Nothobranchius furzeri: one gene and its partners. The main gene of each other region encodes a partner of the protein of the gene in region 4 in a complex. Links are inferred from orthologs where the notes say so. Each region holds a gene or a part of one and is shown on either strand. Other genes may lie near its edges. The genes, in order: polr2eb, pfdn6, ruvbl1, pfdn2, pdrg1, uxt and uri1.

Region 1 (3,296 bases), on a different chromosome or scaffold from region 4:
AAACGGTCAAACACGGGAAATAGCTGGTCAGTGAACCCTGCCGTTTAGCTGTTTTGCCTTCTTGTGAAGATTGTCGCAAAGAGAAAAATTAAACTCGATTAACACCAGTGCCATGCGCACTGCGCCGTTACCTCCATCACTGTAAATAAAGGAGAAAAACAAGTTGATTGAATCCTTTTCTTACCCTTTCCACATTGTTTAATGTAAAGTTTCGTTCTGTAGAAAGTTTAATGACAATCCAACGAGACAGAGCCTGGATTTGTTGTCTGAACAGTGTAAACATGTTTTAAAAGGAGACGCGTCAAAAAGCGGCACCTGCGCAGGGCCGGTAGGCCCACACACAACGCCACGGCTGTGGCTCCCAGTGTTTTCTTTACTGTGGGAAACGGGTAATAACGGCTCTTTGATGGGAAAAGGTTGCCGACCCCAGATCTACTCAAACGACCAAGATTCCTTGTGAATAGAACATGCGCACCTTATGAAAGGGTTATCCCGATACGAGTTTACATGACCTGATACTTGGGTTAGAAAAGGGTTACCTCCAGGGTTAATTACCCGGTTTGTAAATACCCGGTTATGAGCACAACTGGGTTTTTGCCGGTGTTTACATGGCCGTGTGGAACCGGGCTATTGGCTGCATGAAAGCACGGTCACAGTTGGAAAACTCAAAACTATTTGTGTTTGCATTTGGACAATAACTGTGCCCATGACAACCCAGCAGTTTGTGTAAAATGTAAATGAGTGGCAAATAATATACAAGTGATGTTAGAGAACTCATGATGTGACATGTAATAATGAAAACTGGTCACAGGTCCTGTACAACTCTTACATGTGAACAGGAAGTACTCGGTGCTTTACCTGTCCTCTTTTCAAGCCAAAGTAGCGCGCCACAGGGTCTCCAGCCTGAATCCTCGGTAACTGACTTTCTTTTAGTTTACTGAAGTAATCATGTTAAAGAAAACAAAGGTATGTGAAATAAAAGCCCTCAAGCGTCAACACAAAACCTGCAGCATAGTAAAAAGAGGAAATCAGTAAGGATACTATCTTGCTAGAAGCTCGGTCACTTCCTCCTTCGTCATGACGATGTGCTCAGGTACAAGCTGAAAGTTCAGACACAAAACTGAAACCCACTATTCTCAGTATGTACACAAAAAAAAGAACATGATATGCTTTTTACCTCGTGCTCGGTGATATTAATAAGCAGCTCCTGTTGTAGAAACTGCTCCAGTATGTACTTCGGTGCCATGTCCACCAAAGACTGTCAGGAAATTCAGTTTCAACTTATTAGACAGGACAGTGAAAGCCAAATAAAGACAATTTTACTGATAAAATTACATGATCTTTTTTCTTTCTCCATAATAATGGTGTTTACCTTGGGCCTATAACAAGCTCTCCTCGGTGACACTCACCTGACTAGAAAGGGTGCTCGCTGCAGAACCACAAAGGCGGAGCTGCACCAGAGTCAGCCCCGCCCACTCACGCAAACAGCCTAGCCCACTGACTTCTTCTGTTTTTTATTTTTTTATTTTGTAGCAAACTAACCTAACCCACATGAATTACGGCTGTTACTAGTTTACAAATGTTAATGCTACGTTCTATGCTCCAATTAAACAAGATAAATATAACTTGCTACGTGACAAAGCCTGAATATATCCCGAAATGAAAAGGTTTCTTTTAGCGAATATCTGTCCATAGCCGCTCCAACAGAACCGGGCTACAAAAGCATTTAAGGACAATTGTTTGGTGAGCCCTGGTAATCTAGTGGCAACATCGTCACACCTAAGTTTTGCTTTCCCCTCAGCTGATGTAGGTTCAACTCTCGGTGGGGTCGGCAGCTATCTATTTATCCAGCTGAAACATTTAATTTGTTTATATTTTAGTTGTAATGTTTATTTTCTGCAAAATATTTATATCTCTAAAAGTTCTTTGAATTTGGTCGTTCCTAAACAGCATTTTAGTTGGAGCTCTGCTCACAAATGGACTCACACTGGCTAAATAACGAATAAATAGAAAAACAAACACATTAGTCATTATATTGTAAACGGTATACCAATAAATGGTTAAAAACATAGTACTGGCAAGTGTAGCTAGAAAAGAAGAAAAAAGTTTGCGCCGTTACCGGGAGGTGAACCTGCGCAAAATTACATGACAAGCTGACTGCACAACCAGTTCACCACTACATCTGATAACAAGCTAGTGGCATCACATGTAATTGTCCCATCCAGTGTGTTTTTGTAGATGGGATGTATGGTTTTTCAGCGGTGTCTCAGTAGAAGTCATTTCAGAGATAATTTGTCAGAAAATTCACAGAATATCCAGATTTGAGAACCAAGACCAGACCCGCTTCGGAGGAGAGGACCAAATTGAAGCTGAGATGGGAGGAAAATGTGTGAATGAGGCCAAAAATGGCTTTGGCGTGTTTCTTATGAGGAAATGATAATATAACATAATAAAAAGTTCCAAAAGTTAGATTTTTAATTATATGGAAACCTTTACAAAAACGGTTCAGTTAACCTCTCAACTCAGTCCTCAATCCTGCATTTTAGATGATATTAGCTATATCACCCTCTTTGGTTCCAGGATGCTATTAAGTCTGACAACTGGAAGGAATTGGACTGACTCTGATGGAATGGGCGGGGCTGACTCTGGTGCAGCTCCACATTTGTGGCTCTGCAGCGAGCACCACTTGCCTGTCTATGGGACTGTGGAACAGCCAATCAGCAGTAAACAAAGCAGACTTCATTACTGCATATGCCAGTCACCTGTCACTTGATGCCCTGGCTCTCACTGAGACCTGGATCAAACCTGGTGACGATGAACCCAGCTGCACTCTCAATCAACCACACTTCTCATGCATCTGGCCGAGGTGGTGGAACAGGCATGTTAAGTTCCAACAAATGGAAATACAGTCAGTTGCTACCCATAACTAAGTACATCTCCTTTGAATACCATGCCATCTGGGTAACTGCACCGAAAATTATTCTTTATGGTTGTTATATATCGACAACCAGGACAACACGGAGACTTTCTAGATGAACTTGACACCCTGCTCTCCTCCATTCCTGAGCATGACTGTCCCACAATGGTCCTTGGAGACATGAATATTCATCTGGACAACCCCATTTCATCAGGTTTCCTGTCCTTAATGTTATCATTTGATCTAAAAACGGTACAAAGTTCATTCTCTGCCAGCATCACTAATGCAAAGAAAGCTTTCTACACTGACAAAATTCTCAGCACTTCTGACACTCAGAAACCAACTCCCTTCCTCCAAATCGTGTGGAGAACTACCGACC
Region 2 (4,635 bases), on a different chromosome or scaffold from region 4:
CGAATTCGGTACCCATCGCTAGTGGGCATGGCCAGCAACAGCCCATTAGCATTGGTAGAGCCCTCAAACGGCTCATTCTGTGTGGTACTGAAAATGTCAAGAATACAACTTTTAATGAGAGGAATTTGGTGCAAAAAATTGCATGGACCATAGAGCTAATACAACTACAGAATAAACGTTATAATTTGTCCCCAACAGTAACGTGTCTCCTGGCATTTTAAAGCGAACTTAATAACTACTGCAAATGTTTCGAGAACAACTGAATAATGAGATGTTTCAACAAATTAGTGTTTTTCAACCTAAATAAGACAAAGAACCGAGAGATGTTAGTCTCGTCGAACAGAGCTCTGGTGGTTGTCCATCCCTAACTAGTGTATCTGCCGAACTGCCTTATGGGAGTTGAGAGTGTCCCTGTGGAGGGATGTTCCACAGAGCTGAAATCGAACCGGGTCACAAACAGATCCGGTACCGGAGGCTGTAAAGGGAATCTACTCACTTGTTTTTCAGCTCCGAGGACGCGTCCATGTCCTTGAACTCTCCAGCGATGTGAACGATCCCGTAGCAGGTCATCACAAACGATAATAATGTCTGCAGAACGATCTGTGGTGGGAGCAAGACGACGGTGAAGACAAATAAAAAGCAGGGCTCTCTCTGAAGACCAGAGATGGGTTACTCACGTCGATAGGCAGCGTTTCGTGCTCCTTCTCTGTGAGCCGCATGTATGACCGATCTGATGGGAGAGTTGGGATTTAATCAGAGTAATATCGACAATAACTCACAGAATACTCTTAATCCAAACATTAAACGACGGCAGTCACACAGAAGCGAGCAGGTACAGATTAAAGTCTTCCTCCGTTGGAGGCTCTAGCGGAGCTAGCTAAGCTGCTGTGGCCACAGGCCCCGCGGTCCTTCACTCGGTGGAGACTCAGTCCAACCAGAACTAACCAACACAGGAAAACATCGGTCTAACATCTTGGCGCTGAAACTCACGCTGTGCTGCCGAGAACGCTGCGTGGGCCAAGGCAAAGAGTCCGATGCCGACAACACCTTTCCAAAACGAAGAAGCCATCTCGAAGCAGGGCTCAGAGGGACTGTGGGCACCGTCGTAAAACAGTCGTAAACTGACGCAACTGTCACTGCGTCAAAACCAAAACCTACCTGCCAAATGATTATTTATGTTCGTTAAATATTATTATTCGCAGCCTGATATCTGTAAAATCATTTTATTTATGTGTTTTTGCCCTCTATTTAGATTTTTGTGAGCTGAAAATACCCAAAGAAAGCTGTCAGACGTCAAATGGTGCATTCGAATCACATCCTAAATTACATGTTTCTAACCAAACTCATTGATCTCCAACCAATATATTTGATCGAAAATTGAAGATTAGATGTATAACTAGAAAGAGCTTTTCATGGTTTAGTGAGCGTTTGCGTCAAAATAAGTCCAGATACACATAATTTTATTCTGACCTCGATTTAAAACCAGAATATCCGAGTGTGCCCTGAATCTTCCACTACATCCGGTCTCTGCGTAGCTTCTTCCTGTTAGCTAGCGCTGTTCTCTCATGTTGCCTTGCTAAGCGCTCTGTTACAATAATTAAACTTTTACAGTTGTGTAAGATAAAATAAGCAAACATGGCAGACGCCATTCAGAAGAAATTAAAAGCGGAAGTAGAAAAGTATGCACAAATGCAGAAAGGTGGGTTTTCTTTATGTGCTATCACAAGTTTTAGAGGGCATGTAGCCGCTATGTGTGCATGAAGTAACGTTAGCTTTTTGGCCATAAGAATAGTTTTTTAACCCACCTGCGTGTTTTTTCAGATGTTAGCAAGAACATGTCAGCCAGACAGAAACTGGAGACGCAGCTGACAGAGAACAACATTGTTAAAGAGGTAACTTCAGTCCTGTATGGCTGTATATCACAACGGTTTGTGTGTAATAATCCAGACATGACTCGCCTGTGTTTCCAGGAGCTGGATCTGCTCGACAGCTCAAACACCATCTATAAACTTATCGGTCCTGTTTTAGTGAAACAAGATCTGGATGAGGCCAAAGCCACCGTGGCTAAAAGACTGGAGTACATCAACGGGGAAGTGTAAGTCAAGCTGCTGCTTTACTGTTCTACAGCTCACCTGCACACCAATGTCTGTGTCACAGTGGTGAAAGATGGTTAGATTTGATCTTGTTTTTACAATTTCAGGTGGACGAAGCCGGTTAAACCCTGATTTTACTCAGACTCAGGCAGGAATCTTAATGGAAACAAACATAAAATGTAATTCTGAGCAATGCCAGACGCAGAGATGAGATCATCAAATTAATGCGAATATTAAAAAAACAGTTGGCCCTTATCATTTATTGCCATTGACAGCTAAAGACGTCATTTTAAATCCAGTGGCTCGCTGCAATTGACAACTAAAGCTGTCAGTTGCATTGTTTTAACGGGGTGGGCGTGGGATCGAGCCCCCGCACCATGAGAGTAAACATGACGTCTCTAAAGCTGATCTTAGTCCGTGTGTCACACGTCACCTGATCAGGAAGGAGAAAATCCATGAATTGGGATATTGTTTTGGGACGCTGCTGTGAAAAAAGCGAGGCGCTAACCAGAAAAGCGTCTGCAGCTCACACTTGGACAACAGATTGTGAAAGAATGGTTAACGCTAGAAACACGGTGATTCTTCCTGATGTAAAAAGTGAGTCTACTCTTTCTTTCGATAGTTTTGGCGTTTGCATGATCATAGAGCACAACGTTCTGACTCTTCAAAATCAGTAAAAACGCTCAAAAACGCTGGCAGCCAGGGGATTTCTGATCAGAAAACAGCGCAGTGAGTGAGTTAAACAGGATCCACCATAGTTCCTTATTTTCTTGTGGGTTGAAGCTGCTGACAGTCGCTTTTAAAACCATTTATTTAACCAGGAAGTCTCATTTTTAGTTGAACATGAAGGGACTTTCTTAAATTAGCGTGTTTGACATAACCGAATCCTTCACTAAGCGATTCCGGGTTCTAGCATGGCGGTGGTTAGGATGATACGTTTCACCTCTTGAGTGTGCACTGACGGAAGCATATTTTTTGCGTGTCACTTTTCCACTCAAAACGCAGCACTGAAGAGATGAAGTTGGAGAGGAACGGAAAACTTCATCCACAAAGACCAGCAGTTTGTTTTACTGGAGAATTAGACTGGAAAACCGGCATTCCCAGTTAGAACCAGAGAGGAATGTTTCAGTAAATCTGAGTAAATACCTGCTGCTGGAATTAAATGAATCAAATACAAAATCAGAAAATACAAAAAAAAACAATCGAATCCAGAATTATAATAGTTTTACTAATTTTGCTTGTTATTCTCATCATTACATATTTCCAGAGATTGTGAGTTAATTAAAATTAAAAAACACAAATTCCATATTTCTGACTGTGAGGATTATGTATTTTGATACTCGACACCCAATGTGTCACATATTAAAATATGCTGACTAATCCCAGCTGTCAGCCGAACGAAGGATTAATTGTATTGGACACAGAGACAATCGCATATTTAAACCTGGAAACAAACAAACAAAAAAATTTGAAAAATACAAAAGCAATGAGACAAATGAAAAACCTGCTAAACTTTGGAGAAGCCATGGCGCTCACACCGCCTTCACACTGGCTCAGCAGGAGCAGGAACACCTCCCGTTCAGGTTCAGTTATCCTGGTTATTCCTCCTCTCCTCCTAATCCTCAACCTCCATCTTTGAGAGTGGAGCTTGAAAAATCAGAAAAATGTGACGGCTGGATCGAATCAACAACAAAAATAATTTTCCTACAAGGCATTCTGTTTCGGACACACAATCATTTATGTTGAAACGTACCTTAAAGGGATACGATGTAAAGTTTTCATATTTTTAATCATTTTCTTGAGTAAGTATGTGCTAGAATGACCCTTAAAGGAGTCATCACCCGTTACTACCGTGGATATCTACATCACATTATATTATTTAGGCCATGAAAGTCATTTGTATTGGAAAATTAATTAAAAAAGTGCTTTTCTGACCCTTTTTTGTAAAGGACAGGTTTTCTCACAAGAGCACACGCGATATTTCGGCTGTGCTGGGCGTGTCATTTGGAACCGTAGGGTGTCCATGAAAGATCCCGCCTTTCTCGCCTCTGATTGGCTAGAAGGACTCAACTACGATTGGCTATTTTATTTAGCAGCAAACTGGCTTCCCGGCCAGTGAAAATTCATTAGGAAGACATTATATGGATTTTTTTCAAGTGGAAAGGTGAAAACTTCAGGTGATGACTCCTTCAGCAGGGTTACAGAAATGTAACTCAGACCCCCGCAGCCCTCTGTGGCCAGAATATCACGCTTGCAACTTCAGAGTGCTGGACTTAGAAAAAATGGAGCTGACATGCCTGCTTGCAGCACATTTCCTGCATGTTTTAGATCACGAACAGAGCTGATATGTTTAGTTTAGTGATAAATCATTCCTGTAGACACTAATGAAGCTGTTAGATTAAGGTGTTAAAAACAAAGACGAATGCACTGCAAAAAGACATTTTGCTTTTGGTTCTACTAAACAGACACTAGGGGGTGCTAAAGCAAGCCAAAACTGCTAAACGTGTCTAAAAAAGATCAATTCTACACACAAGTGACCAGC
Region 3 (4,777 bases), on a different chromosome or scaffold from region 4:
GTCTCTCTTTCCTGTGCACTTCCCACTTGGGACTGAAGGGGAAGTTTAATACATACCCCAATCTACTCTCTTTTCTTCCTCCCTAATCTACAGCATGTGCAAGTCCACTGGCTACTGGGTTTGTTTACAATGTTGGCTACACTGTGTAGTGTTTAATACCCTGCATAGCCATAACAATCTCTGTGTTTGTGCTAACCATCATAAAACTGTGAGCTTCACAGGTAATTTGCATGAAAAAAATTACATTTCTAGAATTAACAAGACGTGACCCCGGGTTTCTTTGATTTGGTGGCACAAACATGCTTAAAAAGCTAAACGATTCAGCTAAACGCTTCCACCCGTGTTCACTTATATCCTAGAAAATGCGCTTTACCAATTGCAAATCATCTCATGACCCCTTGTGTACTTCTTGGTGACCTGCAGTGGGGTCCCGACCCCAAATTTGGGAACCACTATAAGGGGTCTCCAAACTGCAGCATCTCTTCCCCATCAATTGTTTTCATGGTTGTTTTGCAGAAAGATTGCGCCCTCTGCTGGACGATTGCAGCAAAATAAACTAATTTTAACGTTGCAATAAAACTTTATTTAATTATTTTTGTCTGATTGTGGCTGTATAAAAATAGTCAAATTTTACAATTTGGTGACTTTGTTCATTTAGCACAGTTTTGTGCTGGTTTTGTATTCTTTTATGGCCAGTTTAAGTTATTTAAGCAATATAAATGTATTTACAGAAAATTTCTGGCACTCTAGATTAAGTCTGGGAGCATTCACACATTTATTGTTAATGTATTTCATTGTATTTTTGTCCACCACTTTTTAAGAGCCCACCTCCTATGATAGTCCGAATGAGAGAAGCGTGACCCGGACAATCCACCAGGGTGAACTGAAGGCTGTCATACGGCTGCTGCCCTCCGCTTTCCCGCAGATGTTCAGGAAAATCCACCGTGAACGATGAGAAGCCGAGGTCCAGAGTGATGCCCCTCTCTCGGGACTGCGGGTTCTTGTCAAAGGCCGCCGTGGAGGCTGTGCTGCTCAGTGCTCTGGCGAGCGACGTCTTGCCGCTGTCGACATGTCCAAGCACCCCGACATTAAAGTTTAGCGTCTTGGCCCGGCTGTCAGGTGGCGACTCAGACATTTCTCAATAATCTGCTGAAGTTTTGTCGATAGCATGCGTATTTTCCTGAATTTTGAGCTTGAATTTGAACTCAACACGCAGCGTCACTTGTTGTTTATACGCGGTTCGTTGTTTTTGTTAAAACTAAAAGTTTGTTTTACAAGTTAGTAGTTTACTAAATGTTTTAGCTACAAAAAGGACTTAACAAGAATCGTGGTCCCTGGTATCAGTGTTATTGATCGTCAGGACTACAAACTAAAGCGGAACCCTTTCAGTAGCAAGCAAGAACAAAGAGAAATTTTGAAGTTTTTTCAGTTACTGTTTCTATAATTATAGAATAACTGAATGTGTGAATAACGTGTTATTTACTGTTTCGCGTAAGATAAATGAAACACATTTATTTGGATTTTGTCAATTTCTTGTTGTTTCTTGTACGACAAATTAAACAAAACACAACCGGAAGTGTGCAAAAATGATTGACACCTAAGTAAGCCAATTGAATCTTTACATAATTTCACAACATCCAATTATTTTCTAGACCACTGTAAAATAGGCGGAACCTCAGGGTATCATTTCCGCTTACTTTCCTTAGTAACCCGCATGGAAACAGATTTCTCTGTGTTTTGAGTTTCGGCGCCGATTACAGTAGTGAGGAATTAGCTTAAGTAAAAGCGAGTTTTAAAGCGTCTTTAGAGTAGGTCGTGGTATTTACATTACTCATTGATATAAATAACACAGCTATGAAAATCGAGGAGGTAAAAAGTACCACAAAAACTCAAAGGATCGCCTCGCATAGTCACGTCAAAGGACTCGGGCTCGACGAGGCCGGGAATGCTAAATCTACAGCATGTGGACTGGTGGGCCAGGAGGCTGCTAGAGAGGTACTGTCAAGTGCACTGCGTCGCCGTTAGTAGTCTATGTTTGAAATTAATTATCTTATAGTTATTTGTGATAGATTATTTAGCTCACTGTTGACAGTTTAATACGCCGTAAGCTAAAGCTGTTAGCAGCGATCACACTTTTTCATCCATTCATTAATTTCATTGATCAAATTTGAATTCTGTAATTTCCTTATTTTCGATCCTTATAGATTTTTTTTCATAAATGCATGACTTATTTCCTCAGCTGAACAGGTAGAAGTTACATAGATCTTTTTGCAGAGAAAGGCTTATGATTAGTGCATCATATCCCACATGAATGTTCCAGCATGTTTATATACATCATGTAGTATTCTCAGGGACGAAATTTTGATTTCAGAAGTGGGGGGGACACAGCAGGCTTGTGCGGATTTGGGGTGGGGGTGTTATGTAAAGACCCTTTGACACGTCACATGCCCATCTCAATAATTTTTCCATCCTCAATATATATATATATATATATATATATATATATATATATCAAAGTTAAAAAATGTACAACTCTATTATCATTAATATTTATTATCATTATTGAAGTGCAGTTTTGGCTGTTGACAATGGATAGGCCATTGTATTTATTGTTTTGGGTCTTTTTTTATTGTTTTTGGTGCAACATTTTCTAACAGGGAGTGAGATTCTTTTTTTTATTTAATTTTTGTTTGTTATTTTTATTCATTTAGAAGTTCTGGTTCTGGACATTTCAATGTTAAATGAAGGTTTATTTGTTGCATTTTAAAGGGTGTACTTGCATTATTATGATATATTAACATTATATTAGTGGTTATTTTGGTCTAGATAATGTTGACAATGATATCGTTTATCATCAACAATTTGTTGGACAAAATATCGTCCAGCAAAATTTGTTACTTTCCCAGGCCTAGTCAAAAGTATAAAAAGTATTTATACATAAACGGTCCCTCCTGAGATCTGGCCATTATTTCATTTGCTGTGTTAGAGGACATGCTGAACTAATGTTTTACACATGATCATCACCCTAACATTTGTCACAATGATCAATTTTATGTCTATCGTATCTTCATTATTTCAACCTCACCTGTGAGCCTCCAGCCTCTGCTCCATCTCCTCCAGGCTCTCGTCCTCCATCTCCTACAGCCTCTCCTGCTGTACCTTCACCGGTCTCTCCTCCTGCATCTCTGTCACTCACCTGAAAAAAAGATGCATGAACTATAAACAGTGGGAGATTTTGGAATGGAACAAACAGAAATATTTACAGGATGGTTCTAGTATGATTCACAATTATTATTAATATAATGTGTAAATTATTCATTACCAATTTGAGTGTATAAAAACATATTAAATATGTTTTTTCCCTTAAAAGTGTTTAAACAGTTGTTGCATTTCAACACACAAAAAATAAATGGAAAAAATAAGATAAATCTAATGAAAAGAGTACATCTTTGACATTAAGCTTAAAAAATCTGTTGACGATGATGATACTGTTCATTTTTCAGAGCTTTTTAATGTGAACATATACATTGCAATAGATAAGTTTACAACAAAGTTAAATGATAAAAGTTTTGAAGTTACACTTCTACTACTACTACTACTACTAGTAATAATAATCATGATAATAGTAATAATAATAATAAATAATAATAATTATAATAATACGAATAAATTGTGTCTGAGGAGTCAGTTATGTGGAGGAGATTAGTTTGTAAAAGTTAGTTTTGAGTATGTTTGTGAAGGAGGAGGTGAGTCTGAGCTTAATGCAGGGGTGTCACATGTTCCAACTTACGTTTTGACTTTGAAAGAAGTCTCTTATATCCACTTTCGTTTCTTGACATGCTGCCGCCTGGCTGTGCATAACTACCAAAGACTCACAAATGAACACTTATTCAAATGTTATATAATGGAAGCTGAGCTGAGCTCTGATATTACACAGCGTCTAGTTGACGATGTGACTCAGTACCGGTGTTCCCTAGCGGCTCCAAACTAGCAAAACAACGTGAGCACGTTCTGTTTACAACTTGAGTGACAGCAGCAACAGCCAATAATACGTTAGCAAGTATCAGCAGAGCCAATAGATTAGCTTTTGGGTGGGTCTAATAGGAAACCGGTTTCCGTTTCGGTCCTAGTGCTCAATCAAATCCATTTAATGGAGCGTAATATTGGTTTTGGACGGAAAAAAGTGAAGGGGACCGAAACTGCCTTTTGAAAAAGTGGGGGGGACATGTCCCACCCGTCCCCCCCCCAAAATTACGTCCCAGAGTATTCTAATATAATTTTGTGTTGGTAAAAAGCAAAGATCAGGATATTCTAGCACCGACAGCCACGACTTGTTTTTAATAACAAATACCACAGTTTTTAAAAGCGTTGTAGCATTTTGTAATTTCATTTATATCTTAATTAAAAACTAATAAAATGTCAGATCAAATTTAATAATAATACATTTAAAAAAGAAATACCATTGTTTGCAACATTTTCTTCTTTGAAATTTGATGCATTAAATAGGTTATGTTAGATAAGTTTGCACCACCTTTGCAACAGTAAGTAAATAAATGTTTTTAGGATTATTCAAATTTTTATTTCCGGTTTTTCTTTATGAAAGGTTTCAGCTGGTAAAAAATGTATGCATTTTTTGTTTTTGTTGTATTCATTTGTTTTGGGTTGTTTCACTGTACACTACATAATTGTAGATGATTATAAAATTGAACAACAGATCGGTCATTTCACCAAATGCACTCAAGTCAACTTTCTACTGGTGTGATTTGTTCCAAAACAT
Region 4 (4,471 bases):
CATTTCAAGTCAGGGATGGTTGCTCCCTGATTCCTGTCTCTGTTATGTTGCATTTTGTACACATTTACTACTCCTCCAGGTGACACAAATCGTGAATATGTGAGAATTTATGCTCCATATTTTTGTTGTTTGCAGAACAAATGCACGTGACAAAATTCTTATAAAATCTAGCAGTGCGTTGTTTGGTTTCAGTACTTATAAACAAACGCACCTGTTTTGCAGCAACGTCGGCAGAGAAGCCAAGTACTTCACAGACGATCTCAAAATGCACCTGGACATTGGTCCCATACAGCGTCACCTGAGGAGTTTAAACCCAGCTGGTGTTATTATAACGTTTGGTTAACCATCGACAATTACATAACGCGAGCAGCCCCTTCTTCTCTGCGATGCAAAAAATGACCAGAAATGTACATATAGCACCCTACTGCCACCTACTGGAGACTTTTTATAACAATATGTGGTAATAACAAAAAAACAAAAATAAATAAATAAAATAAAATAAAACTTTAAATGTAATGAAAAGTCCATTGTTTTAGGATGTGGAATAGTTTTTGAGTTGGCAATGTTTTTATACTCCTAAAATTGTTTTTAAAGTATTATAAATGCATCATAATCATTCAAATATAACACAGGTTTATAAATAACTATCAAAAATACCCTTAAACCAGACTGAATAAATATATTATTTTGCAAAGCAAACGTTTGGTCTAGTTCACTAATAAGATATAAACAGCACGTATACGTCGCATTTCAGTCAACTTTGAAGACATATTGACAATAATATTGTGTGTTTCTCAATTACAACTCTTTTCGTAATCATTCTGATTATTATGGCAAAGTTTTACATTAATAAATTTAAGTTCAGGTGCACTAAACCATGCATTGTTGCTTTTGAAAACAAATTCAAACAACACATTTAATGTGTTCAATCTTCTGAAAACCCCAGAGCAAATAAAAATCTAGAGGTCTGTATGAGGTTAATCCGCTTTCAGCAGTCCTTTACAGCGTTTGAATTATAAAAATAAAAAAATGTCGATAAATGCATTTAAGTGTATTTTTGTATTAAAAATTTACATGTATTTCTTCATTTGTTTTTAATTATTGATTTTAATTTATGTACGGTGTGCTTCTGATTATTGTCTAACATGAAAACTTTTGTTATTTTTGTTCATTTTTGTTTTGCTTTTGATGTTACCTATAGGCTGCTGTAAAGCACATTAAGTTACCTTTGTATAGGAAATGTGCTATACAAATAAAGCTGTCTTGTCTTGTCTTGGCGGTGTGCAAATTAATTAATTTAATGATTAATATGTCCTTTGGCTGAAATAAAGAATATTTGAAAGAGAAAAAACACGTCTAAAACTCCACGATGCAGAAACTGCTTTAATAAATAAGCTAGATTCGGAAAATGGGCTGCATGGTGGCGCAGTTGTTAGCACTGTTGCCTCGCAGCACGAAGGTTGCAGGTTCGAAACTCGGCTGCGGCCTTTCTGCGTGTTGCGTGTTCTCCCCATTCATGCGTGGGTTTCCTCCGGGTACTCCTGTTTCCCCCACAGATCAAAACATGCCCCATACGTTATAAATTGCAAGTCACTTTGGATAAAAGCCTCTGCCAAATAAATAAACATAAACATAAAATAAAAAAGCGTATGCACGAAAAAACAAAAACAATACAAAGTTGATGGAAGTTAATAGAAATTATTCCTTCAAATGCCATTTTATTTTATGTTGAATTAAGTTGTATTTTGTTTGCGGTTCTGCTTCTGAGTTTTTACATGAAAAAGTAAAAGATGGTTGCAAAGTAATTTAGATGTTTTACAAGCCGCATTTGCACTCAGGCAATCTCATTAGATAGCTGCAGGGTCCTAATTGGCAACACCCTTCCAAGATGGCAGCGAACGGTAGCAGCACGGGTAGCAAGTCCAGCAGCAGCGCCGGCGGAAAACAGTCCGGACTTTCAGCTGAACAGGTACTCTCAATTATATAAAAAGGTTTCATTTGTCGTTACAATTATTTCTGTTGTTGTTTGGCTCAGTTTGGTAAAGCAGAACTAAAAGTATAGCCCCTAGCTAGTCTAAGCTAACATTAGCATTCCTGTCGCGATCATCTGGCTCAAAACCCAAATTTGGACATCGGGAACCGTTAGGAGTCTAATAAGGACATTATGAGAGTTTACATCAAACTCTTACTTCTAACAATTTTTACGTTAGTCTATGTATTTACGGTTTTGAAATAATGTGTTTGGTTTGGTGTGACTAAGCATAAAGCTATTTTTGTCCACCTAACCCTAATAAATTATTACTCAGACCATATTAAACAAATCACTGCTGTAATGTCTGTAATACAGTGCACTGTAGTCCGTAATATATCCTTTAACAACAATAATGGCAACATTAGAGTCGAGCAATACCTTCAAATATGTGTCAAAACCTTTATTGATCAGGTTTTACAAAAATAATAATAAAATGTAAATATTGCCATATTGTATCATAACCTTTTTGTTATTTTCTTACATATAAAGTCTATGACTCTGCGTAAATGGTGATTAAAACCATCAAATAAACAAAGTTTATGTCCACTACTTCTAAAAAGTTGTAGATTAAATCTGATAATAAAATTAAACCTTTACCATTAATGAGTTGCTGCATTATGTACATTTATTTAATAATCTTTTAAACAAAATTGTAATATGCTAATTACCAGTTATGACTTTAAGAGTTTGGTTTCAGTAGACAACTAAGGAGTAGCAGCATCTGTTTTTTATTTATTTATTATACTTAATAAAAAAATGATCAAATTCCATTTGTTTTCAGGTGGTAGCAACATTTCAGAGGATGCGTCAGGAGCAGCGTAGTATGGCTTCGAAAGCTGCTGAGCTGGAGATGGATGTCAACGAGCACAGGTTGGTGGAGCATCATCTACATTTATGTTCTAGACACAAATGTTTCACAAGATTTTGTAGGGGAAACAATCCAAAAGACAGACCGTTTAATACCTTTGCTATTTCTTTTCATATTTAGTTTAGTAATTGAGACCCTAAAGGAAGTGGATCCTTCCAGGAAATGCTTTCGTCTGGTTGGAGGAGTGTTGGTGGAAAGGACAGTAAAAGAAGTTCTACCAGCCTTAGAAAACAACAAAGAAAAGGTAATGTTATTTATTTCGGTCACAGGAATGATCAGGAGAATAAACTGAGACATTTTAAATCACTTATTTAACACCAAAATAACAATAAGTGTACATCGAGTTAATCTACATAATTTCACAAGAAAGAGTTTTGTTTATAGGTTTTGAAGTCAAAAATAAACGTTTAGGTGTCAACTGCAGGATGTTTCGTTTGTCTGATTTCTCATCCATCTTCCTCTGTTCTAATAGATTTCCAAAATAATCGAGACCATCAACACACAGATGCAGGCAAAAGGACAGGAGCTCACAGAGTACAGAGAACGTTACAATATCCGGCTGGTTGGAGAGGGTGAAGGAGAGGCGCAGGGCCAGTCGGCAGCAAACTCGCAAGACAATGAAGGAGGAGGATCCAAAAGTGGAGCAGGAGTTCTGGTCTCATAATGCTTTGAGGATGGACAGGGACAGCAGTGCCCTGTTATTTCTGCAGCACTGAAGAAGAAATGAAAACTAGCTCAAGTCAAGGAATTTAGGTGGAAAACTGAACTTTTCATAATGTTCCTTTTAGTTTTCTTGTTTAACTGTAATTTCCTGGAAGTTGTAATAATCATGGTCATCTGCTTCTCTGTTCAGTTGTTTATGTCCTCATTAAGGTCATTTGCCTTGCAGATGTTTTTTAAAATGCTGTCATACATTCAGCAAATAAATTAAAATGCCATAAAAAGGATTTTGAAGTTGCTGACATAAGTAAAAACATTTATCTTTCTCATCTAGCATATAAATCCTGTTGCACTGGGATGAAATTTTTAAAGACATTAAAAAAAAGTTAATGTCAGAATTAGATCCTTTTGCATTGTCATTAAGCATACACAATCGAAATTTATTGGTATGTCAGCTTTGAAAACGCACAAAGCTTTAAAAATGATGTACATTTTTGCGAAAAGGATGTAAAGGACTGAAAAACAACAAATAATTAAACGTGACTCATGAACAGGAGCCAGTACACAAAAGGAAAAATGGAGAAAAGGAAGAGGTTTCTCATGCTCACCAGATTATGTCATTGCGGCAGAGCCTGCCTCAACTCGACAGTACAGTGAGCTCTCACTCGGTTTTTACACTGCACACACTTCCAAAGCTTTACGGAAATAGTGCTTATGAACGCTTTCAAAGTAAAAGCCAGTCTCTGAAACGTGTTTTCAGACTTATTTCAAACGAACCATTCTAGAAAAAAAAATTTGAATCCAAAAGTGATCAACAAAAATTTTTATCACCATTTTAACTGTTTTTTCAAAACAAAGGCATATTGAAATTTGTTAAAATGTCTAAAAAACGAACAGGAGAAGCCCAAACA
Region 5 (4,455 bases), on a different chromosome or scaffold from region 4:
TCCCCGGAGGAGCTGGCGGAAGTGGCTGGGGAGCGGGAAGTCTGGACCTCCCTGCTTAAGCTGCTGCCCCCGCGACCCGACTCCGGATAAGCGGCCAAAAATAGATGGATGAATTTTTAATTTCTTGTGCTTGTGAAGCGTCTTGAGGGAGGGCTTGTTGGAGGGTTTTAAAGCACAAATCAATACGGTAATCCTAATTTCTATAACATTTTTGTTCAGCTTCAACAACATCAGTTACTGTCCTGGATTTATTGAGCAGAGCTGTACAGAAACTGGGTTTAACACGTCGGCGTTTTCGTCCTCAGCAGTTAGCTGCTCATCTCTTCAGAAGGCTGGTGATAGCTTTCATCTCATCAGAGGATAGAGGAGACAGATTATAACCTCTCAGCTCAGGATTTCCTGAAAGCAAGCAAACAACAAAGAAAAAATATCACAAACAACAAATACTCTACAGACAAACATGAGGTGCTTCAAAGGATCAACTCAAACAACAAATAAATGTTTTCCAAACACCCATCAGCTCCGGCACCGCCATCACTCACGCCAGCTGCTCGTCGTGTGAGATCAAACCAACAACACCAACATCACTGATAAGCTTCAGGTGCAGGTGCTAGCAGAACAGCCACACGAGTGGTTCGTGCAGGTGGGGCTCAGCACACGCCCCTGTGGAGTGAAAGTCTGAAATAAATAAAACCGTGATCATGTGATCCTCAAATCTGATCTCCTTTCCAGCGTTCCTGACTGACCCGGGATCTGTTGTGTCTACTATTGTACAGGTCCGGGGCGAGCCCAGTTGGGGGGTTGGGTGTGTGGGCTGCAGGAGCCCAGTGACTGAGCTGACCACACGGGGAACTTGGTCGTTTTTCCAGGGTTTTGTCCTTTTCGTGGCCCGACCACGGTCATTTCTATTTACAGCTGTGGTCGTCTGTCGTTGTCTGAGTGTGAGACGGAGAGGCTGAGCCGTCCACTTCTTGCAGGAACTGAAAATAATTTATTATTGTGACGCTTCTCTTTCAGAAGCCGCCTGAATGTTTCAGAAGACAAAAACTGTTACGGTAAGCCAAAGAACGCGTGAAAAATGTGTCAGAGCGGCGTTTTGTGATAAAACGGGTCATCACTACTAACTCTTTCTCCACTCAGATCCAACAACTTATCACACGGAAGGATTCACAACACCTGTTGGGAGACAGCTGGTGCTTTGGGCCGACAGCTCACTGAACTAGAACCTTTAGTTCTGAAACAGACACTCAACCCTAACCCAGCACCAGATGGACTCCAGCAGCAGAAGACCACACCAGCTGTCAGCCAACAACAGGAACCTGGGCCTCAAATCCCCACAGCATCACCAGAAGGGACCGGAAAACGTTGCCTGGTCTGACGAGTCTAGACCTCCAACACCAGGATCCCAGTGTCGGTGCTTTTTCATCGAGTTCCTGATTATTTTCTTTGCAGTCAGAGTTTCTTACTGTTTGTGCCTCATAATGAAGAGAAGTGTGCTCACTAGGATGCAGTTCACGAACAACAATGTCCTGCTATGAAAATGGACCTCTCATTAAAACAATATGAAGCTGGAGGATTAGTTTCCAGTGTTGCTTTTCTAACAAACGATAAATATTTTCTAAATGAGCACACTAAACGTTTAGGAAGTGTCCGAGAGACTGCAACCAAATTAATGGTCACATTTATTATCATTATTATTATAATAACCAGAATAATAAACTCTTTAAAAAGCTTTAGCTTTCATTTAGTGCCCATAAAATAAATGTTAAATGAAGAAATGGTTCCAGGTCCATTCTGATCCGGAGACTGCTGTTTCGTGAGGATCTATGAGGTGAACAAGGGTCTGTAGTACCGGTGCTTGAATCATTAGTGTGGTGGATGGAACCGCTGATGTGTCACAACACACATACCTTCGATCTCGTTGAGACGACCGACTTTAGTTCTCAGCTCTTTGCGAAGGTGGTTTATTTCCTTGTCCAGCTGCTCTTGGTCTGCAGGTTGGAGAAACGGCTCAGACTAAATTCGACTCGTGTTAAAAACGGAAGATCTAACTTGTAAACGATAAAGGATCACCTTTCCGGATCATCTGCGTCGTTTTAGACTTGGAGAACTTGATGAACATGTTTCCAAAGCAAACCTTGACTTTTTCTGTGGACGGCAGCAGAGGCGGCCATTACTCCTTCATCACCAGGGTCACCAATAAACAACCACGAGTTTCATAATTAGCCTGAGATTATTTACAGATTACACGTGTTCCTTTAGGCAATAATAACAGACGGATGTTCCAGCTTTATGGGAACGTTTGGTTGTTGTAGCTACAAGGGTTCCTCTGTGGTGTTCTGGTGGCCTGAGTGCTGATGGATCACAAACCTTTATCCGACATCTCATGTTTCAGTGCGTTCAGCGCCTCTCTGTTGAAGTTTCTCTTCATGTCCAGGTCAACAATCTGAAACACACACACACGTTTGTTTTAAGGGAGGACATTATTAACTGGGATATCCGTGCGTGTGTGTGTGGTTTTAGAACAACAGTTTTCTTCAGATATCATGAACGCACCACCTGACTGGACCAGCTACAGAAGGACATTTGACTCTAGACAACATCGGTGTGGTGACGGGTAAATGAAGTGTTGAACCAACACCAGAACTTAGCTCTCTTGGCTCCAACCGCTAAAATCCTCATGCATAAAGCTGCTAACGCACAGAACTGCGTCTGAAAACCGCGTACGTCACATCCACTCACACTTGTTAGCATGAAGCTAGCAGCTGTAACCCGCTACGGGTCTCACCGCGTACGTCACTTCCACTCACACTTGTTAGCATGAAGCTAGCAGCTGTAACCCGCTACGGGTCTCACAGAACCAGCCTGGCCACGGTGGGTCTGGATGTGTTTACCTGTTGTTTGGCGGTGAGAACATCCTCAGCCGCCTCTTCCACTTCAGTCAAGCGCTCCAAAACACGCAGAGAAGCGTCGTCCATCTTTGAGTCTTCTTCTTCTGGGCTAACGGTGGACTACCGCCCCCTGCTGGAGAGAGGTCACCTCCGCATCCGCCGCGAAGCTTTTCACAAATGTATTTTCAGAGGTGTGACCATAGACTGTACATACTCCACATACAAATGTTTTTCTGTATTTTTGTAAATATTCTCATCATAAACTAAATAAATAGGAAAAACATTTTCAAAAGCATGTCCAAGTGGGCTCAAATTCTTCATGTATAGCAGGTGTGACCAAGTCACTGCTTTGCAAGTCATAAGTAAGTCACAAGTCTTTCCATTCAAGTCTAAAGTCAAATCCAAGTCAAAGACAACCAAGTCCAAGTCAAGTCCTTAACTTTGAATTTTCAAGTGATAATCAAGCCATCTGTCCAACTTCTATTTAATGACGATGATAATAAATTAATTCCAGAAAAAAACCTTCTTAAAGCTTCTTTTTTTTTGCTCAAACAAGCAGAAACTGAGACTGGTTATAAACAAAGCGCTGCTGCATTCAGCAGTAAATCAAACCCAGAACCAAGAATGATTTATGATTTTTGTCCATGTCGTGCCACTTCTGTGACAAAATATCAAACATTCTCAAGTCATCATCAAGTCAACAGATGCAAGCCGATTCAAGTCACAAGTCACTGGTGTTCAAGTCCAGTCAAGTCATAAGTCTTTATAGATTTTATCAAGTCAAGTCAGAAGTCATTCAAATAATGACTCAAGTCTGACTCGAGTCCAAGTCATGTGACTCGAGTCCACACCTTTGTGTATTATAGTCAAAATGTACAAGTTACTGTGCAAAACAAACAAATTACAAATCATTTTCCTTGGACCAATAGAAAAAAGTCCATCGTTCCTGAAACTTCAGCTGAATCCCTTCCAGAAACATCTGTTATTGTCACATAAAATAAGAGTGGACTCAGCATTAACGCCTTTAAACCAAGTTTCATGATGGACAGGACTTAAAAGCAACATTACACGCACGGTGGTCACGGGTGTAATGAACTGACCAGGTTTGAAAATGGACCCAAATATTCCAGAAACAGTTTTCAGACTTTCAATTTTCCACATTTTCCTCATTCAAACGCAGCAACACTCAAATAAGTACTTTTTATACTTGTGACAGTTTAAATGTTCTTGATTTAAAGAGCATAAGTTCTGATTTGGAAGCGATAACTTTTCTTTTGGAGCCAAACTTTCCCGGTACACATCCGGTGGAGGAGACTGAGCCCAGCTTGTGGGTATAGCCTCGCTCCACAGGAGCCTCAGCTGGTCCCCCATGGGCCTGGCTCACCAGGTTAGGCTACAGTAACACTTATAGATGAAATGCTTGAGGGTTTGGGAACCTTTTAATGGTTTGAAGTTTGAGTTTAAGACTACTCATGTAAATATTAAAACTGGGCCAATGATTTAGTGTGTTTAAGTGTAATAAACAGAGGTGGGCCAGTATATGAAAAATGATCAAAGTCAAGCT
Region 6 (4,562 bases), on a different chromosome or scaffold from region 4:
AGCTGGATTCTGGATCCGAGCAGCAAACTGAACACAAAAGATGCTCCTTTCTTTCTCTGATTCAGTTTCAAGAGTCTCTCAGCACCTCTATTCGGCAGCTCGTTGTCATGGAAACAGGCTCTGCGTCGTCGAGCTTCTGTGCGAGCAGCTGATATTCATCACACCGGATGAAGGTCGTGAAAGCTGACGAGCTCGTGCAGCTGACCACCCGTCAGCCTCACAGAGCTAACACGTGCTGGTCACGCATGACTCTTCGAGCACGTTCCCGTTCTTCCAACGCAACAAACCCGCTAAACGTCTCAGCGTTCCTCAGGAACATTCCGACAAATTCCTTTCAAAAGTTTATATTTGGTTTTGAGAGACAAATAAACCATAACACCGGGAAAAGATCTTAAAAATAACAAAAAAAGTTCACTTTAAATCTAAATCAGCTTGTTCAAAAAGACAAATAACACTTTTTAGGTCTAAAAATATTATTTATTATAAGAAGAATGTGTGAATGATTTTATTCATCAGGAAATGAAATGTTGGCAAATAAACAACCAACAACTTTTACCCATTTAAGCCTAAAATATATGATATTATTTTATTACAATAAATCCCAGAAAGAACTAAAGTAGAACTACATCCAATAAAAAATATACACAAAAACTAAAGTTTGACATAAATAAAACAAATCCAAACTAAAAACCTCATTATTAATAAAATATGAATGAAAAAATGAAAATACATGAACTTCAGTTTAGTATTTTAATCAGGAAAGACTCATGACTGCTGTGATGTTCTTCAAACATCTGAGGAGACCTTCGTCCTGCTGTCCACAAAGCTCCTCCCAGGAAGAGGAGTTTCCTCCTCCCCCGGAGGTCCAGCCCCAGCAGCACCTGCTGCCCAGAACCAGGAAAAGTCTAGAAGACGTCTCTTCTTTGGCTCTCGGGAAGGTCGGTGAGTCCCTGCAGCTCCCGCAAACCCTGAAGGCAGAGGAAGAAGATAGCAGCCAATCAGACACCTCATCTGGAGGATCAGGGTTCTCCGTGGTTCCACGATGAACACATCTGATTTTAGAGGAGAACGTCCCTCTCCATCAGCACCAACTCACCTCGACGCTACCGGACCGGCTCTACTTCAGATCTTACCGAGTCTCTGACTCGCTTTGACTTATAGAAGATCAAACACTCAGCAGAAAAACTCAAATCAAATATTAAAGAGCTTCAGATCATAGACATAATAACTGACCTCAAGGACCATGCGGATGTTGGCTTTTATTTTGGCGGCGTCTTTAGTGAGTTGCTCTGTGAAGCTGCAAAACAAGCGTTAGCATGGTTAGCATCTTTGGTTCCGAACATTGAGCTAACACAGCACTCGTTCAAACTCCCTCAACTTTATTTAGAACTAGATCTCAGCTCGACAAAAATGAGACGTGTGACAAAAAGTTTGTGTTGTCACGGCAACACAGAGCTCACACTGTCAGCTGACTCGTCTTCTTGGTGATGAACTGCAGAGCTTCATCGTGGGTCATTTCCACGAAGAACCCGAAACCGACCGCCACGAAGATCCTGGACGAGTCGTCTCTGTCCAAAGGAGGGGAACAACGGGTCAGAACCGGGACCAAACACAACCAAACTGCTCAGAACCAGAACCAAACATCTAAAAGAGGTTAAATGTCTGTGGAGGGAGGAGCTGGACACTCTAGAGAGACAGACACTCACACTTGAGCCTGAACATAGAAGCTGCAGCCCAGATCGACGTCTGTCTTCAGCTGCTGGGACTCCGCCTCCTGCAAGAACACGGAGTGACATAACCGCAACGTCATCATCATGATATAAACATATATAAATATATACACACACACAAAATTCTATCACAAACAAACAGGCGTTTCTGATTGACAGCACGAGGCCTAAAGAGCTCAGGTTACTGGTCTGTTGTTGGATCGGGCCTGAACAGAACTCCTGATCCAGAACACACAGCTCCGCTGGATTTTCATCAGCAGTTAAAAGGTTTCCAGAGATTAAAACATGGCGGATGTTAGCTGAAAATATTTCAAACAACTGAAAAAAATCCTAGAGGAGGCCCTATGATCCTCCCAGAGTGATGCCTCCCTCCTTAAAATCTCTCTCTCTCTCTCTCTCTCACACACACACACACACATACACACACACACACACACGCACGCACGCACACACACACACACACACACACACACACACTACCTGCAGACTCTGGATCGTGTTCTTCAGCTGCAGGTACTGGGAGATCTTCTCATAAACCTGGTCTCTCTGCTCCAACACCTTCCTGTCAAACAGAACACCTTCATCAGTGTGTGTGTGTGTGTGTGTGTGTGTGTGTGTGTGTGAGGTGTCAAAATAGAGTATTTGAAATGAGTTTGCAATCATTTTCTGACTGTTCTATTGGATAAGAACCACACCAGGGATCCGTGGTTCTCCAGGACCCACTCTCTGGTTCTCCTTCACTGGATCTTTTTGGTTGGTTCTGATTCCACAGACCAGAACATCATCCGACTCTGTGGACTCACCACCGCAGTTTGACTTTTGTTCTGGTCGCTCAGATGAAGCGTCAACTTCTCTAGCCGGATAGACCCCGCCCTCTGGGGGGCTGCCATGGTAACCAGGTACCAGTCACTGGTCATAGTGATTGTCACAAATGTGTTTAATACAACTTTATGATTTACGTTTAAAGAACTTAACCTGTACTATAATGATCGTGTCTGTAGAGACATAAACATCGCATCAAAACTTAACCGGAAACTGCTTAGATTCATCAGAACCCAGCACCAACTTTTATTTACCTGCTTCAAGCTAGAGCTACCAACCCTGCCCTAACTAAACCAGGATCTGTGAAACTACTCAGAATTCAAAACCAAACAGAGGAGCAGAGCTGAGAAACTAAATCAACTATACGAGTTAAATCGTACCGTAAATCTCTCTTCAGAACCTCGTTGATGAACGTTTCGTACTGCAGAACCTTCCGGTCCACGTTTTCAGCGACAGGTTCCTCCATGCAGCTTTTCAGATTAATAACAACAATAATAACTTCATGCGGATTAATTCAGTTCAGATGAATTTCTGCTCAATGTAAATTAACCGTTTCGGACACAAAAACGTGCCGTTAGCACAGCTAGCATGCCAAGCTAGCATGTAAATAATTCTTTACACCGGAACTAAATCATTGAGTGCCCCCAAATTTTCAAAATAAAGCATGTAGACATAAAACAGATAGATGCATTAGACGAAGACGCTCCAGACTGATTATATATATATATATATATATATATATATATATATATATATATATATATCAAGACTCAAGACAACTTTATTAGTCCCCGAGGGGCAATTCGAGACAGCATTGTGAAGCAGCCGGCACTAAAATCTCTAAATTCTAAAAACACATCCAAATTACACATTTGTAAAACCCATAAAACCTATATACACATTCATGTCATAACCCCATACATATATATTTATATATATATATATATATATATATATATAATTTATTTATTTAATTTTCACTTCTGACTGACATGTGAGTCTTTTCTAGCTGATTTGGATCTGTGTCGTGACTTCCGTTGTCACGTGACCGTAGCTAACGCAGCTCTTGTCTGAAACAAAACGTTTTCAAACGTTTCAGGCCCGAAAACCGGATCTCCTCGCCGCGCTTTCAGGCTTGAACGACTATCAGGAAACATTTCTGCTCGAATTGAAATTATTTCGACGGTTTCATTAAGCCATAGGAGCTAACTTAGCTTAGTGGTGACGTTACCATGGCAACACGAGTTAGCATCCTCTGTAAAATTCGGATCCAATTGAAATCGAGCTGATTTATGTATAATCTCAGAACCCGAATAAAACTTACGACCTTTATTTCAGTTATCGTTCCGTAATATTTCAGAAACGTTGGTGTTTTATTGAACTGAAACGCGCAAAATCGTAAACGGCGTCTTTTGTACACGGAGCTTTGTTTCCGGTCTGAATTCTGGCTCCTGTCGGTCAGCTGGAGGAGGTAAAAGAAGCTCTGGGAGGTGTTTTCTTTCTCAAAAAGAGGTCACCTATATCTTATTTAGTTTAATGTTACAGCTTGAAGTTTTAATGTGGAATCAGATGAAAAATTGGTCTTCCTGCAGAAATCAGCAGACCGGATCAGGTTCTTGTCCCAGACATGGAGCAGTACAGCATCCAGGGTCGGATCGGAGAAGGAGCTCACGGCATTGTGTTCAAGGCCAAACACATTGAGGTACCGATAGCAAAAGATCCAGCCTCTGGGTCTGGTTCCAGGTGCAGAGCAGTTCCTCCTCAGAATGTTCGTCTTGTGCCTTTTCTCTCAGACAGGAGAGACGGTGGCTCTGAAGAAAGTGGCTCTGAGGAGGCTGGAAGACGGCATCCCGAACCAGGCTCTGAGGGAGATCAAGGCCCTGCAGGAGATTGAGGACAACCAGTATGTGAGTGTCCCTCCAGCTGCTTCTGCCCAGTTCAGAGGACAGCGAGGTGTCAGACCTGATGCTACTGAAATGCCACAAACTGGTGTTCGTGATGGTGTCAGAA
Region 7 (4,515 bases), on a different chromosome or scaffold from region 4:
TTCTTCATCAGGAGGGATCACTTGTGTGGCTCTGCTGGTCTAGATTAGCCTGGCAAGCCAGACTAAATAAATGTATTATTTGCAAAGCAAGAATTTGGTCTAGTTCACTAGGCCAGGTCTAGATGGTTTGGATCTGAGATTTATCGAAAATAAATCTTTAATGCAAACAGAACTGCTTTTTAACTGACTACCATCATTTAATACTTGAAGCTGCAAATCAGCTCAGCCTGCTCATGAAACGTGAGCCGCCATCCGACCTGAAACAACAACTGCAGGCCCCTGCTGTGTGATCCCGGGTAATGCTGAAGGGAACTCGCTGCAGTCGATGAAAGCGGACACACTGGAGCTCCAAAGCCCACACCGCTGTTCCCACTTAATCTTTGAGTAAAGAGCTCTACTGTCTTGACGTGCACACACACACACACACACACACACACACACACACACACACACACACACACACACACACACACTCTTCTGGTCCTTTCATTAAGTCCAGGATTCAATCACTTCTCAGCATCCTTCTCAAGTTATTTTGGAGAGCTGTTGTCCCCAGTAGAAGCACAAATGCATGTTTGTCTTTCTTTGTTCGTGAGGGCTTCCATTGACTTCCATTCATTTTTGTGACTGCATTACGCCTAACCCATACCTGCACAGTAATGATAACCAATGCAGATCTATTCCTAACTAACTTTAACTAAAACCTGATTCACACCAAACCTTAAAACCAACTGGTGGACTTTAAGGAGTACTGGGGACTGGTGTTCGGACAGAACACCATACATATCAGAGCAGCATGAATGCAGTTTATGCACGATCATCTAAACCTCCTCTGCATTCTGAGCCAGCTCAGTGGCCTAGTGGTAGAATGTCCACCCTGAGACTGGGAGATCAGGGTTCGATTCCTGGTCGGGTCATACCAAAGACTTAGAAAAAAATGGGACCCAATGCCTCCCTGCTTGACACTCAGCATTAAGGAGTTGGATTGGGGGTTTCAACCACCAAATGGTTCCCGAGCGCAGCTGTGTCTGCAGCTCACTGCTCCCCCAGGGGATGGGTCACATCAGTGTGTGTGACAACTAATGGGACTTTAACTTGACTTTAACTTTAGCAGCCGTCAGTTCAGCATACAGACAGCAAAGTATGAGAAAAAGTGAGTCATTTATATTTTTAATGATAACTGAGTGGCTGCACATTCACTGGTGTTTTGCAGTTTATTTCCAGTTGTGTTCATGTTTTACCATCCACACCAACAGACTGATAAATGTGTATCACAATTTTTTATTTTTATTTTACCACCTTTTATCTCTAAAAAAAATAAAAATAAAATTAGACAATAAAGTAGGGATGCACAGATATGATACTGGTATCGATACCAGTACCAGTATCGTATCGGTAAAAGTTAACTGATACCAGGAACCGATACCAATGCAGTTGCTTGAAAATGGCTTCCCTGTAACTTGTCATTTCTGTTCACCTAATATTTTAGTTTTGTGATGATTTCCATTCATATATTTTACTTTTTATCTACCTCACAGTCGTCTCCTGTTGAAAGCAGAGAAGAAAATACAATCTGTATTCCAAATCATTGCATTTTTTCGTGTGGTAGAAGTATCGGTATTGGTAATCGGCATCGGCGAGTACTCAGATCCAAGTATCGGTATCGTATCGGTTTGGAAAAAAGTGGTATCATTGCATTCCTACAATAGAGCTTTAAAAAATATACAAGTCTGGGTGTCATACGTTTTTTAAAAGTGTATGGTGATCTGATGGGTAAACTGGCCCAGCAAGATGTCATTCAGTTGTTAAATTCTAAGTGTTTAGTGATCTCATGAGTAAACTGGGCCATCAGGGTGTCATATGGTTGTTCTAAACAAAGTGTATGGTGATCTAATTGGTAGAACAAAAAACAAGTTAAAAAATCACAAATCTATTAAGTGTCAAAGTTAAGGGAAAAAACACCTTTTCAGATTACATTTTCAAAAAATACTTTAATCACAGTGTAATATAGTTCAGGATTACATTAGAATAAAGTAGAAAACCATTCCAAACCTTTTCTAGAGACATTCTTGTGAGTTTTGGATGCTTACCAGTGCTGAATCCGACTTTCACAGTCTTTCACCACCTGTTTTAGGACAGATCATTTTAGTTTGTTTACAAATTCAGGTCAACACAATCTGATGTCAGGATAATACATATATTTATTCCTACTGGGAATTTTCAATTCATAAACGCCCTCAATTGTAATAAATAGGTTAATAAAGTTGTGTTGGCAAAGGGAAATTAAATGTATATAATTATTAGTATTGTATTATTAAATAATACAAATGCTCCCCCCCCCCCCCCCCCAAAAAAAACTGTCAAAAACAAAATAAAAGGCTAAGCTTTTGCTTTCTCTTCAACAAAACAGCTGGCTCACGTCTGAACTTTAGTTTTAGTCAAGCTCTAATAACTTCCGGTGACCTTTTGAGTTGTTATAGGGGGCATAGGACTTCCCGATTTGCATTAGACAATAATCTAAATGAATCAAAGCAAAATCTTAAAACTTCCACACAAGTGAAACTTGTGTGCAAGTAAACAAAATTAGCCAAACACACCTCCAGGCTTAAATTTGAACGTAAGAAACTTCTAGAAGGAAGCTAAAGGTAACCTAAAAACACAGATGAGACATGTGACGTAACCAGTGTCGTGCAGAGGCGTCTGTGCGCAGAAGAAATAAGCTCTTCAGCTGACCCACTCGTGGTTTAAACACTCCCAAATGATCCAACCGCGTGGCTCGGCTGGCCTCGCGGGTTCTGCCCACCACCTAAACACCAAAACTTACCTTCTCGTGTTCCTGTCGGAGCCTCGCAACTCCACCGAGACGCTCCAAATTCATTTTCCCACCTTCAGTCATCGTCAATTCACATGCAAAACGGTCAATCTGTGCGTTTTGTGACCCACAAAAACAAAGCTCAGGGGTTGTTGTGAGTCCTAAAGAAGTGTTTATGAATCCAGCAGACGCTATTCCTGAGACCCGTTCTGCACGTATTCATCAAAGGGGCAGTGATGGTTGTCCACACTCTCGGAGGTGATTTCATCTCACACACTCACTTCAGAATTTCTGCATTATTCCCAAATAAATCCACGGTTTCGGTATCCCAAAGATTAGCAGATTCTCCTCGTCACTTTCGCTGCGCCATGCACTCTACAGCAACACGGAAGAAGTTTCAGGCAGACTTCCGGTTAATATTTCCAAAATAAAACACTTCAATTCAAGTTTATTTAAATAGCGACAAGAGTCGTCTCAAGGCACTTCACATCATAAACATTCCAATTCATTAAGCCAATCAGAAAAAAGTTTCCTATATAAGGAACCCAGCAAATTGCATCGTACATCATTCCTCATACTAAGCAAGCATGCAGCGACAGTGGAGAAGAAAACAGTGGAAAGACACCTCCAGAGGATCCTGGCTCAGTATCAGCAGCCATCTGCCACGACTCACTCAAGAAGCGGTCTGTTGGAATAATATAATATAATATAATATAATATAATATAATATAATATAATATAATATAATATAATATAATATAATTCCATGGAGTTTGTTCTTATACAGATATATTTAATTCATTTTTTATATGATGGGCTACATTTAAACCACAAAACATTCAATAAGCTCATCGTCTCACTATAAAACTAGAAAAGTTTAAACCAGCTAGTGTTTTTATGGGAAAATGGGAACCTCACCCTTCCTACTTGCAGTTTTACCAGCTTTACAGCTTTGAAAAAATAAAACTACTCACTAAACTTTGAGATGAATGTCTCACACCAGAAAATTCTTCAACACACACACACACACACACACACACACACACACACACACACACACACACACACACACACACACACACACACACACACACATATATATAATTTTATTTTATTAAAATACCTTGTTATTGTATTTATGTTTTTATTTCATTTTTATTAAGTGTACACATTTAAAATGGAAATGTACAATCAGAATACACATTCATTCATGAATGTGTCTGGTTATAAAAGCAGCATCTACAATAACAGCAAAAATGTATGGTGTGCTTATGGGATGTAAAAAGATTGTGAATACCTCAGGTGTTCTTTTATTGAGGCATACAGGTATAGCTTAAGAAAAAAGAGGTCTGAGGCCATCAGGAAAATGAAGATGGTAGAAATACTTTATTGTTTCATGGCTAGTCAAATAAAAACAGGTTTCAGCCCCATTGACCTTGGTCAGGGAAGGGATTTGCATGCAGATGTATTTTAATCTTATTTACAATTTTAGAAATGAAACTGACCCCAACTGTCCTAGTCCTCTAATCATGAGAACTCATATTTCTACTCTTATGGGTCAAAAGTATCAGTACATGTTTCATCCATAATCATTTAATTTTGATTTTGAGTTTAAAGTTAATTATAGATGACTGCAAGGGGAAAAAAACAAGTTACAAATTAGATTTTTTTTATCATAAATGTAGATTCCAACAGAAATTATC

The links.
Region 1: pfdn2 (region 4) and polr2eb share a complex: the UniProt entries of both Homo sapiens proteins name them as parts of the PAQosome complex. The link is inferred for Nothobranchius furzeri from reciprocal best matches to the Homo sapiens genes PFDN2 and POLR2E.
Region 2: pfdn2 (region 4) and pfdn6 share a complex: the UniProt entries of both Homo sapiens proteins name them as parts of the PAQosome complex. The link is inferred for Nothobranchius furzeri from reciprocal best matches to the Homo sapiens genes PFDN2 and PFDN6.
Region 3: pfdn2 (region 4) and ruvbl1 share a complex: the UniProt entries of both Homo sapiens proteins name them as parts of the PAQosome complex. The link is inferred for Nothobranchius furzeri from reciprocal best matches to the Homo sapiens genes PFDN2 and RUVBL1.
Region 5: pfdn2 (region 4) and pdrg1 share a complex: the UniProt entries of both Homo sapiens proteins name them as parts of the PAQosome complex. The link is inferred for Nothobranchius furzeri from reciprocal best matches to the Homo sapiens genes PFDN2 and PDRG1.
Region 6: pfdn2 (region 4) and uxt share a complex: the UniProt entries of both Homo sapiens proteins name them as parts of the PAQosome complex. The link is inferred for Nothobranchius furzeri from reciprocal best matches to the Homo sapiens genes PFDN2 and UXT.
Region 7: pfdn2 (region 4) and uri1 share a complex: the UniProt entries of both Homo sapiens proteins name them as parts of the PAQosome complex. The link is inferred for Nothobranchius furzeri from reciprocal best matches to the Homo sapiens genes PFDN2 and URI1.

The regions. Positions count from the first base shown.
Region 1 is NC_091748.1:48,498,379-48,501,674, reverse strand, and holds part of polr2eb (DNA-directed RNA polymerases I, II, and III subunit RPABC1), read right to left. Parts: intron 1,259-3,296; coding exon 1,178-1,258; intron 1,101-1,177; coding exon 1,042-1,100; intron 938-1,041; coding exon 859-937; intron 1-858. UniProt on the Homo sapiens protein: DNA-dependent RNA polymerase catalyzes the transcription of DNA into RNA using the four ribonucleoside triphosphates as substrates.
Region 2 is NC_091741.1:28,884,805-28,889,439, reverse strand, and holds the start of pfdn6 (prefoldin subunit 6), read left to right. Parts: upstream 1-1,513; 5' UTR 1,514-1,635; coding exon 1,636-1,699; intron 1,700-1,821; coding exon 1,822-1,892; intron 1,893-1,970; coding exon 1,971-2,095; intron 2,096-4,635. Other genes in the region: mmgt1 (ER membrane protein complex subunit 5), read right to left, coding at 497-600, 678-730, 991-1,069. UniProt on the Homo sapiens protein: Binds specifically to cytosolic chaperonin (c-CPN) and transfers target proteins to it. Binds to nascent polypeptide chain and promotes folding in an environment in which there are many competing pathways for nonnative proteins.
Region 3 is NC_091743.1:48,428,579-48,433,355, forward strand, and holds the start of ruvbl1 (ruvB-like 1), read left to right. Parts: upstream 1-1,720; 5' UTR 1,721-1,854; coding exon 1,855-1,995; intron 1,996-4,777. Other genes in the region: eefsec (selenocysteine-specific elongation factor), read right to left, coding at 829-1,135. UniProt on the Homo sapiens protein: Possesses single-stranded DNA-stimulated ATPase and ATP-dependent DNA helicase (3' to 5') activity; hexamerization is thought to be critical for ATP hydrolysis and adjacent subunits in the ring-like structure contribute to the ATPase activity.
Region 4 is NC_091742.1:74,820,538-74,825,008, forward strand, and holds pfdn2 (prefoldin subunit 2), read left to right. Parts: upstream 1-1,666; 5' UTR 1,667-1,888; coding exon 1,889-1,969; intron 1,970-2,813; coding exon 2,814-2,902; intron 2,903-3,020; coding exon 3,021-3,144; intron 3,145-3,372; coding exon 3,373-3,564; 3' UTR 3,565-3,847; downstream 3,848-4,471. Other genes in the region: nit1 (deaminated glutathione amidase), read right to left, coding at 212-288. UniProt on the Homo sapiens protein: Binds specifically to cytosolic chaperonin (c-CPN) and transfers target proteins to it. Binds to nascent polypeptide chain and promotes folding in an environment in which there are many competing pathways for nonnative proteins.
Region 5 is NC_091743.1:5,381,312-5,385,766, reverse strand, and holds pdrg1 (p53 and DNA damage-regulated protein 1), read right to left. Parts: upstream 3,050-4,455; 5' UTR 2,979-3,049; coding exon 2,895-2,978; intron 2,756-2,894; exon of another isoform or gene 2,587-2,755; coding exon of another isoform or gene 2,557-2,586; intron 2,447-2,556; coding exon 2,371-2,446; intron 2,149-2,370; coding exon 2,074-2,148; intron 1,992-2,073; coding exon 1,911-1,991; intron 400-1,910; coding exon 317-399; 3' UTR 235-316; downstream 1-234. UniProt on the Homo sapiens protein: May play a role in chaperone-mediated protein folding.
Region 6 is NC_091755.1:47,134,765-47,139,326, reverse strand, and holds uxt (protein UXT), read right to left. Parts: upstream 3,197-4,562; 5' UTR 3,019-3,196; coding exon 2,933-3,018; intron 2,630-2,932; exon of another isoform or gene 2,607-2,629; intron 2,293-2,606; coding exon 2,211-2,292; intron 1,775-2,210; coding exon 1,707-1,774; intron 1,569-1,706; coding exon 1,461-1,568; intron 1,298-1,460; coding exon 1,234-1,297; intron 969-1,233; coding exon 906-968; 3' UTR 737-905; downstream 1-736. Other genes in the region: cdk20 (cyclin-dependent kinase 20), read left to right, coding at 4,180-4,254, 4,346-4,459. UniProt on the Homo sapiens protein: Involved in gene transcription regulation. Acts in concert with the corepressor URI1 to regulate androgen receptor AR-mediated transcription. Together with URI1, associates with chromatin to the NKX3-1 promoter region.
Region 7 is NC_091744.1:78,623,808-78,628,322, forward strand, and holds the start of uri1 (unconventional prefoldin RPB5 interactor 1), read right to left. Parts: upstream 3,181-4,515; 5' UTR 2,897-3,180; coding exon 2,825-2,896; intron 2,126-2,824; coding exon 2,091-2,125; intron 1-2,090. UniProt on the Homo sapiens protein: Involved in gene transcription regulation. Acts as a transcriptional repressor in concert with the corepressor UXT to regulate androgen receptor (AR) transcription.